Linked DNA regions of Callithrix jacchus. The protein of the gene in region 1 interacts with the protein of each later gene in a pairwise test. Links are inferred from orthologs where the notes say so. Each region holds a gene or a part of one and is shown in the gene's direction. Other genes may lie near its edges.

What was found. The genes of interacting proteins can lie anywhere in the genome.
Region 2: the proteins of AIRIM (region 1) and keratin, type I cytoskeletal 19 interact in binary tests that used the Homo sapiens proteins (3 or more experiments, as listed by UniProt). The two-hybrid records come from large-scale screens. The link is inferred for Callithrix jacchus from reciprocal best matches to the Homo sapiens genes AIRIM and KRT19.

Annotation. Positions count from the first base shown.
Region 1 is NC_133508.1:74,246,645-74,250,389, reverse strand, and holds the start of AIRIM (AFG2-interacting ribosome maturation factor), read left to right. Parts: upstream 1-1,215; 5' UTR 1,216-1,471; intron 1,472-1,887; exon of another isoform or gene 1,888-2,018; intron 2,019-2,931; exon of another isoform or gene 2,932-3,037; 5' UTR 3,038-3,142; exon of another isoform or gene 3,143-3,259; intron 3,260-3,564; 5' UTR 3,565-3,745. Other genes in the region: CDCA8 (borealin), read right to left, coding at 431-559, 685-778. UniProt on the Homo sapiens protein: Part of the 55LCC heterohexameric ATPase complex which is chromatin-associated and promotes replisome proteostasis to maintain replication fork progression and genome stability.
Region 2 is NC_133506.1:91,728,246-91,731,990, forward strand, and holds the start of keratin, type I cytoskeletal 19, read left to right. Parts: upstream 1-1,167; 5' UTR 1,168-1,227; coding exon 1,228-1,644; intron 1,645-3,745. UniProt on the Homo sapiens protein: Involved in the organization of myofibers. Together with KRT8, helps to link the contractile apparatus to dystrophin at the costameres of striated muscle.

The DNA of each region.
Region 1 (3,745 bases):
TGCACTCCAGCCTGGATGATAGACTGAGGCTCTGTCTAAAAAATAAATTAAAAAAAATACTATTTCCTGATGTGGAAAAATTATGTGAAATTCACATTTCAGTGTATCCGTAACTAAAATTTTATTGCAATACAGCCCATCCATGCCCATTCACTACAGCTGTTTTGGAACTGTATCACATATCACAGAGTTGAGTAGTCTGACAGAGACCCCCATCGACCCCCGCACCAGTGGACTAAAATATTTGCTAGCTAGACCTTTAGAGAAAAGCATGGAGAAAAATGAAGTAGGGAAGTGAGACAGAGAGTGAAGGGGAACAGTAGGTCTGCCATTTTCCATAAGTGCTCATGTCAGATCTCATTAAAAGGTGACATCCGAGCGAGCCCTTTCTGAAGGGTGTCACCTAACCCCAAGGGGCTGCAGCTCTTACCGAAGTAGTCGAGCCAGTTCATCTCGCGCAGCGCCTTGGGGAGTCGCAGGATCTCGATGTTGTACAGGTTATCCACCTCCTTGAGGAGGTTCTGCCTGTCTGACTCAATCTGCTTGATTCGTATTTCCACTGCGGGAGGGCAGAGCCGACGGGACACGGGTCACGGGGCGGGTGAATAGGTGCTGCTCGTGTCCCCACCCGCCAGCATCCCGCGACTGCCCCAGGAAGCCGCGACTGCCCGGCCCCTTCCTTACCTTCACGGTCGAAGTCTTTCAGAAAGGAGGCGAGCTTCCGCTTCCGTAAGGAGTTGGTTTTGGCCACCCGACTGCTGCCCTTCCTAGGAGCCATGGCGCTCGGCGGAGGCTGCGGGTAGCGGCAGAGATGGGGCAGGGAGGCAAGGAACCGGGTAGGCACGAGAAAGGCGGACAAATGCCACCCGAAGAAGTCGCCAGGCACGTACCTGCAGTCCCGAGACAAGGGCTGATCAAAACCTCCCGGTGCCTGTGAGAAAGCGGCTCTACCGCCAACCGCCACCCAATTCAAACTCCACGGCCACAGGCTGACGAATGAGAAGCCGCCGTCCCACAACATCCAATCACAAGCAAGTTCTTGCCGGCCCGGGGTCTCCAGCCCAATGCGCCCTCTACAGCCTGAGTACGTCAGCGCGGCCACCGCCGTCGCGAGTGCTCCTGGGAGTTGTGGTTCAAGATAGTTTCCCCGCCCTCTCCACGCCCACCCGGCTCCGCCCTGGCCAGCTGCAAACGATATTAACTACTATTCCCGGCAGGCCTTGCGACGGCACCTCGACACTGTAAGCTCTGGAGGGCTGAGGGCCGACCAGGACGACGGGGGCCCGCTTGGAAGCCGGGAATCCCAGCACTTTAGGAGGCTGCTTCTTTCTGGCCTGGTTGCAGCTGAGTAGCCGAGGGCCGCCGTGACCCACTGATTGACTGACTACTGACTGGCTGTCTGTCTACCTCTGCGCTCCTCAGGGCCCCAAGCACCCCAGGCCGAACTTCGGAAAAGTGGAGGGAACTTCGGGCAAGTGGAGGGTCGGCGGAGACACAGCAGCCCCACTCAGCAGTGTTTGGAAGGGGGCGGGGGGTGCAGGCTTTGGGGTGGGCGCGCCAGCCCGGCCAGTCTGGGCAGCGAGTGGGGGGAACCCTCTCGTTCCTCGGTCGCCCGCGGGCTGGACCCTCCTGCCCAGTTAACATCTCGGCGCCTCGACTGGGTGCGGAGTGCGGGGTCGCGACTTCAGGTGCAGTAGTGGCGCTTGGCAGCTGGCTGTCCGGTGACTGCAGTAGGAGCCGCGGCCGCTAGACTCCAGGGAGCCCAAGGCAGGAGGCAGCCCTGGGTGTCGAGGCCGTGGGCCTGGGAATGGACGTGTAGACGGCGAGCCCGGCCGAGCCGCGGTACAGTCGGAGGTGCTAACTGTGTATCTTGGCATCTGTCCACAGCCACAGGGTTGGATTGATCGGGGGTTGTGCTGAGGCCCAGCAAGGCTAGAGGCTAGTCTTGAAGTCTCCAGGGATCAGAGCGATAGCTCAGGCTGAGTCTCAAGGCGGGTGGCAGCCGGACAGCCAGACTGGTGAGCTCTTGATGGGTTTGTGGTATGATTGGATTTGGTGCTTTTCACCTGTGGATGCGGTCTGAAGCCATGTCAGAGGGGTTGTGTTTGTGTTTAAGTGTGCATTTTATAGACTGTAGGGGTGATAATCTTCCCTCTCCCCCTCTGAGTTCAGGAACAATCGAGGAAATAAGCAAAGGTGCCAAGCAGGCTCCTGATAGGCACCAGCGAGCTTGGAGACACAGCAGGTGGAACATAGGAGCCCTGGCAAGCCTGGCCCTTCCTCTTGCCAGGGAGAGTCCTTTCTCTCCCTTCCAGCCTGTCCTGTTGCTCCATATGCAACAAGTATTTGAATGTCACTCTTCCGCCCGAGGTCAGCCCTGGGCAGTGGGTGATGGGGGTGACACTCCAGTCTGCTGGGTGCCTGAGAATCTTCATCAGGCAGATGGCCAAGATGAGAGGGGATGACAACCGGTACCTCATGCAGGCTCCCCCCAGCAGGTGTTTTTATGCTGGGCAAGTCTGGCTTCCAGCCTCTTGGTTTCAGCGCTTCTCTCACTCCACTCCCCAATGCGCCCGACTTCCCTGGGCACCTAGGACATCACCCTGCATCTTAGCTAGAGCTGCCACGTCAGGAGCCCCTGATTCACTAGTTTTTGCCAGTTGGCTGTGCCACAAACATTGTGAAATGTGTCATTAAGACATAGCCGGAGGCGCAAGCTTAGAGGAAGTGACTCTTAGCTAATAGGATGTGGTAACACCGCCACTAATTTAAACTGCTGCAGGCTGACAAATGAGAAGTTGCCGTGTTGGGACGGCTGCAACATCCCAAGGAAACTTCAAGCCAAGTGGCCAATCCACATGTGGGACTACAGTACCCAGAAGTCATTGTGGCAACACGATATATTTTCGCGACGCAGTAGCCCTGCAGGCTAGAGGAGCTTTGGGAGATGTTCGTGTTTGAGCACATGCAGACAGACTACGGGTGCGTGTGCAGGTCTGGAGTGTTCTCACACTTTGGCTGTCTCTGCTGGTTTCAGGAAGGCAACCGGCAGCCTCGGGCAGGGGAGACTGGCCTCTGGGTTAGAGAATAGACGGCGCTTGGATGCTGGGAATCCTCTGAAGTAGGAGAGTGCCCTATCCAGGTAACCCTTCCCGAGGGAAAGCCAGGATCTCCTTCACAAAGCTGAGGCAGGGCCTGACGCGGTGGCTCAATCCTGTAATCCCAGCACTTTGGGAGGCCGAGGCGGGCGGTTCAGGAGTTCAAGACCAGTCTGGCCACCATGGCGAAATCTCGTCTCTACTAAAAATACAAAAATTAGCTGGGCATGGTGGCAGGCACCTGTATTTATTTATTTGTTTGTTTGTTTGTTTATTTATTTATTTTGAGATGGAGTTTCGCTCGTTACCCAGGCTGGAGTGCAATGGCGCGATCTCGGCTCACTGCAACCTCCGCCTCCTGGGTTCAGGCAATTCTCCTGCCTCAGCCTCCCAAGTAGCTAGGATTACAGGCACGTACCACCATGCCCAGCTAATTTTTTTTTTTTTTTTTTTTTTGTATCTTTAGTAGAGACAGGGTTTCACCATTTTGACCAGGATGGTCTTGATCGGTTGACCTCGTGATCCACCCGCCTCGGCCTCCCAAAGTGCTGGGATTACAGGCGTGAGCTACTGTGCCCGGCCGGCAGGCACCTGTAATCCCAGCTACTCTGAAGGCTGAGGCAGGAGAATCGCTTGAACTTGGAAGG
Region 2 (3,745 bases), on another chromosome or scaffold:
AGGGGGTTATCCTGGTGGCCAGGAACGAGTGGGCTTTGAGAGTTCCAGAATGGGGGTTAGCCCCCATGTGATAGTCAGGCTTGAGCTTGGTGTTGCAAAGGTGCAGGCTGCCAGAACCGCTCCCTGCAGCTGTTCTCGGGAGCCTATTGTCACCTTGGGGCACTGAATAGTCACAGCAGGGTGAGGCAGCTTTGTCTTGGGAGGGCTGGGTTCCTGCAGCTCAAAGTGCCCTCATCCGGAAACGGTGGGCCTTTGCCAAAGGGGACTAAAGGGGAGTTGGACATGGGTGTTCCCAAAAAGCGGGTGGTACTTTCCAGTGGAGTGCGGGAATCTGTGAACACACTTTGTGGAGGGTGGGCTGGTTAGGATCGCAAGCAAGGGGCTCCTAACAGTATTCTGGAGGGAGCATTCTGAATGGTTAATCATTGGGGTTGGGTGTGGTAGCTCACACCTGTAATCCCAGTACTTTGGGGGGCTGAGGCCGGTGGATCACTTGAGGCCAGGAGTTCAAGACCACCCTGGTCAACATGGTGAAATGACATCTCTACTAAAAATACGAAAATTAGCAGGGCATGGTGGTGGGTGCCTGTAATCCCAGCTACTTCAGAGGCTGAGGCATAAGAATTGCTTGAATCGGGTAGGCGGAGGCTGCAGTGTGCTGAGGTCACACCACTGCACTCCTGCCTGGGGGACAGAGACTCCGTCTCCAAAAAACAAACAAACAAAAAAACCCAAACCAAACCAAAATCACTGTGCCAGGGTGTGTAGGAATATGACCCCAGAGGGACCGTAATTCCCAATGGGTGTCAAACTCTGGGTGCTCTTAAAGGGTGAGGGTCAGAACGTGGGTGTCTAAGTACGTCCCTGTTGGGGGAAAGCCTGGAAGAGGGTCTGCAGAACTGGAGTGGTTGAGTGTGGGTGGGAGCTTCTGCGAGGATTGGGGTGGGGCAGCTCTGGATGGCAGGGGCCTCTGGTCTCTGGGAGGAGAGGGTTGCGGGCAGAGCCGCCAGGAATTGACCAATGGGTAGAGCGCCCGTATTTGCTCTCAGGAGCCTGCAAATTCCTCAGGGCTCAGATATCCACCCCTAACACCATTCTTCCCTTCCCCCCATTCCCCGCCCCACTTCCTGGCCCCCGGCATAAAAGGCGCCCGGTGAGGGCCTCGCCGCGCCTCCGGTGATCACAGCCTCTGGGACCAGGGTCGCTCGGTCCGTGCTCCGCCTCGCCATGACTTCCTACAGCTATCGCCAGTCGTCCACGTCGTCCTTCGGGGGCCTGGGCGGCGGCTCCGTGCGTTTTGGGCCGGGTGTCGCCTTTCGCGCACCTAGCATACACGGGGGCTCCGGCGGCCGCGGCGTGTCCGTGTCCTCCACTCGCTTCGTGTCCTCGTCCTCCTCGGGGGGCTACGGCGGCGGCTATGGCGGCATCCTGGCTACTTCCGACGGGCTGCTGGCGGGCAACGAGAAGCTCACCATGCAGAACCTCAACGACCGCCTGGCCTCCTACCTGGACAAGGTGCGCGCCCTGGAGGCGGCCAACGGCGAGCTGGAGGTGAAGATCCGCGACTGGTACCAGAAGCAGGGGCCCGGGCCCTCCCGCGACTACAGCCACTACTACAAGACCATCCAGGACCTGCGGGACCAGGTGGGCGGAGGCCTGGCCGCGCTAAGTGCACCTGCCGCGGAAACCCAGCCCCGCGGGCCGGGCGAGGTCCCAGGCAGGGCGGCGGGCGGGAGCCCGTTAGGACGTGGGAGGGCCCGCAGGTGGGGCCGAGAAAAGGGGGGCAGGAGGCGGGGTGGGGAAGCAGGACCTCGGGGCGGGATGCGGTGGCGGGGGTGGTGGCAAGGGGAGGGAATTGGGCGGGGCAGGTAAGTGGGTGGGGCTTCTGGAGGCTGCGGGGCAGGGGGCGAGGTTGGAGAGCCAGGAGAGAGAAGGCGCGAGGGTTGGCGAGGCCTGGGAACACGGAGGTCCGAAGAGTGGGAGGAGATGGGACCCGGCTGTAGAGTGCCCAGAGGTCTAGGCCAGGGGCCGCGCTGCCGCAGGAAGATGGGAGAGTTTGGCTTTGGTGATCTGGTCCACCCGGGGCCAGTCCTGCCCCTCCGACTGCAGCGTGGGGCCTCTTGCATTCCGTTTCGCTGGCCGCAAGGGTCTGGTGTCCCTCGCGCCGAGGCTTTGGCCTCCTCCCACTCTCACGCCCTGGGGCCCATTCCTCTGGGAAGAATGGGAGATCCGGCTGTGGCCCCTGCGCGGGGTAAAGGAGGGATGCTGGGTAAATCTCTGCTGGGGAGGACCCGGTACAGAGGCAGCTCCCTGTCGGGGAAAGAACGGATCTGCGTCACAGGCTCTTAAAGGGAAACTGGAAGGGGCCTGTAGGGTATAGGGCTTGGTCTCCACCCACAGAGAAGGAGAAATTTATTGGGTCGTGAAGACATTTATCAGAAGCTATGGGACATTTACAGCCTCACACGCTGGGTCTCCCAACACAGATTCCCAAAATATTTTCCAGTGCTGTACTCGTGGCATAACTCAGACCCACAGACCAGGAGGAAGAGCTAGAGATGTCAACAACGAACAAAAACAGTGCTTTACACACTTGTACAACTGTGAGCTACAGGGGTGGGCGCTGTTGCTCACACCTGTAACCTCAGGACTTTGGGAGGCCAAGGTGGGAGGATTGCTTGAGCCCAGGAGTTTGAGACCAGCTTGGCCAACACGATGAAACCCTGTCTTTAATACAAATACAAAAATTAGGGCCGGGCGCAGTGGCTCACGCCTGTAATCCCAGCACTTTGGGAGGCCGAGGCGGGTGGATCACGAGGTAAAGAGGTCGAGACCATCCCGGTCAACATGGTGAAACCCTGTCTCTACTAAAAATATAAAAAAATTAGCTGGGCATGGTGGCACGTACCTGTAATCCCAGCTACTCGGGAGGCTGAGGCAGGAGAATTGCCTGAACCCAAGAGGTAGAGGTTGCGGTGAGCCGAGTTCGCGCCATTGCACTCCAGCCTGGGTAACAAGAGCGAAACTCCGTCTCAAAACAAACAAACAAACAAACAAACAAAACCCAAAAATTAGCTTGGCGTGGTGGCGTGTCCCCGTAATCTCAGCTACCCACAACAGGAGAATCACTGGAACCCGAGAGGCAGAGGCTCAGTGAGCCAAGATTGTGCCACTGCACTCCAGTCTGGTGACAGAGCAAGACTCTGTCTCAAAAACAAAAACAAAAAACCCAGGCATGGCGGCAGGCGCCTGTAATCCCAGCTACCAGGGAGACTGAGGCAGGAGAATCGCTGGAACCCAGGAGGTGGAGGCTGCAGTGAGCCGAGATTGCGCCATTGCACTTCAGTCTGGGTGACAGAGTAAGATTCTGTCTCAAAAAAAAAAAAAAAAAAAAAGAATTAGCTGGGCATGGTGGCATGTGCCTTGCAGTGAGCCATATGTGATCAGTGCCACTCCAGCCTGGGCAACAGAGTGAGGCTCTGTCTCCAAAAAAAAAAAAAAAAAAAAATTATGACAGACAATAAGTACATTTTACTAGGCACCCTCACACATTCTTTTTCTCACCTGTGTGTGTTTGTGCATGTGCACACACACACAAATGGGTGAAACAACTCTCTCCATACTAGGGGAAATCCCCTCTGATATTTTATAGCCTGTTACGTTGCCTTAAAAGCTGTACAATCAGCCAGGCGCAGTGGCTCATGACTGTAATCATAGCATTTTGAGAGGCTGAGGCAGGTGGATT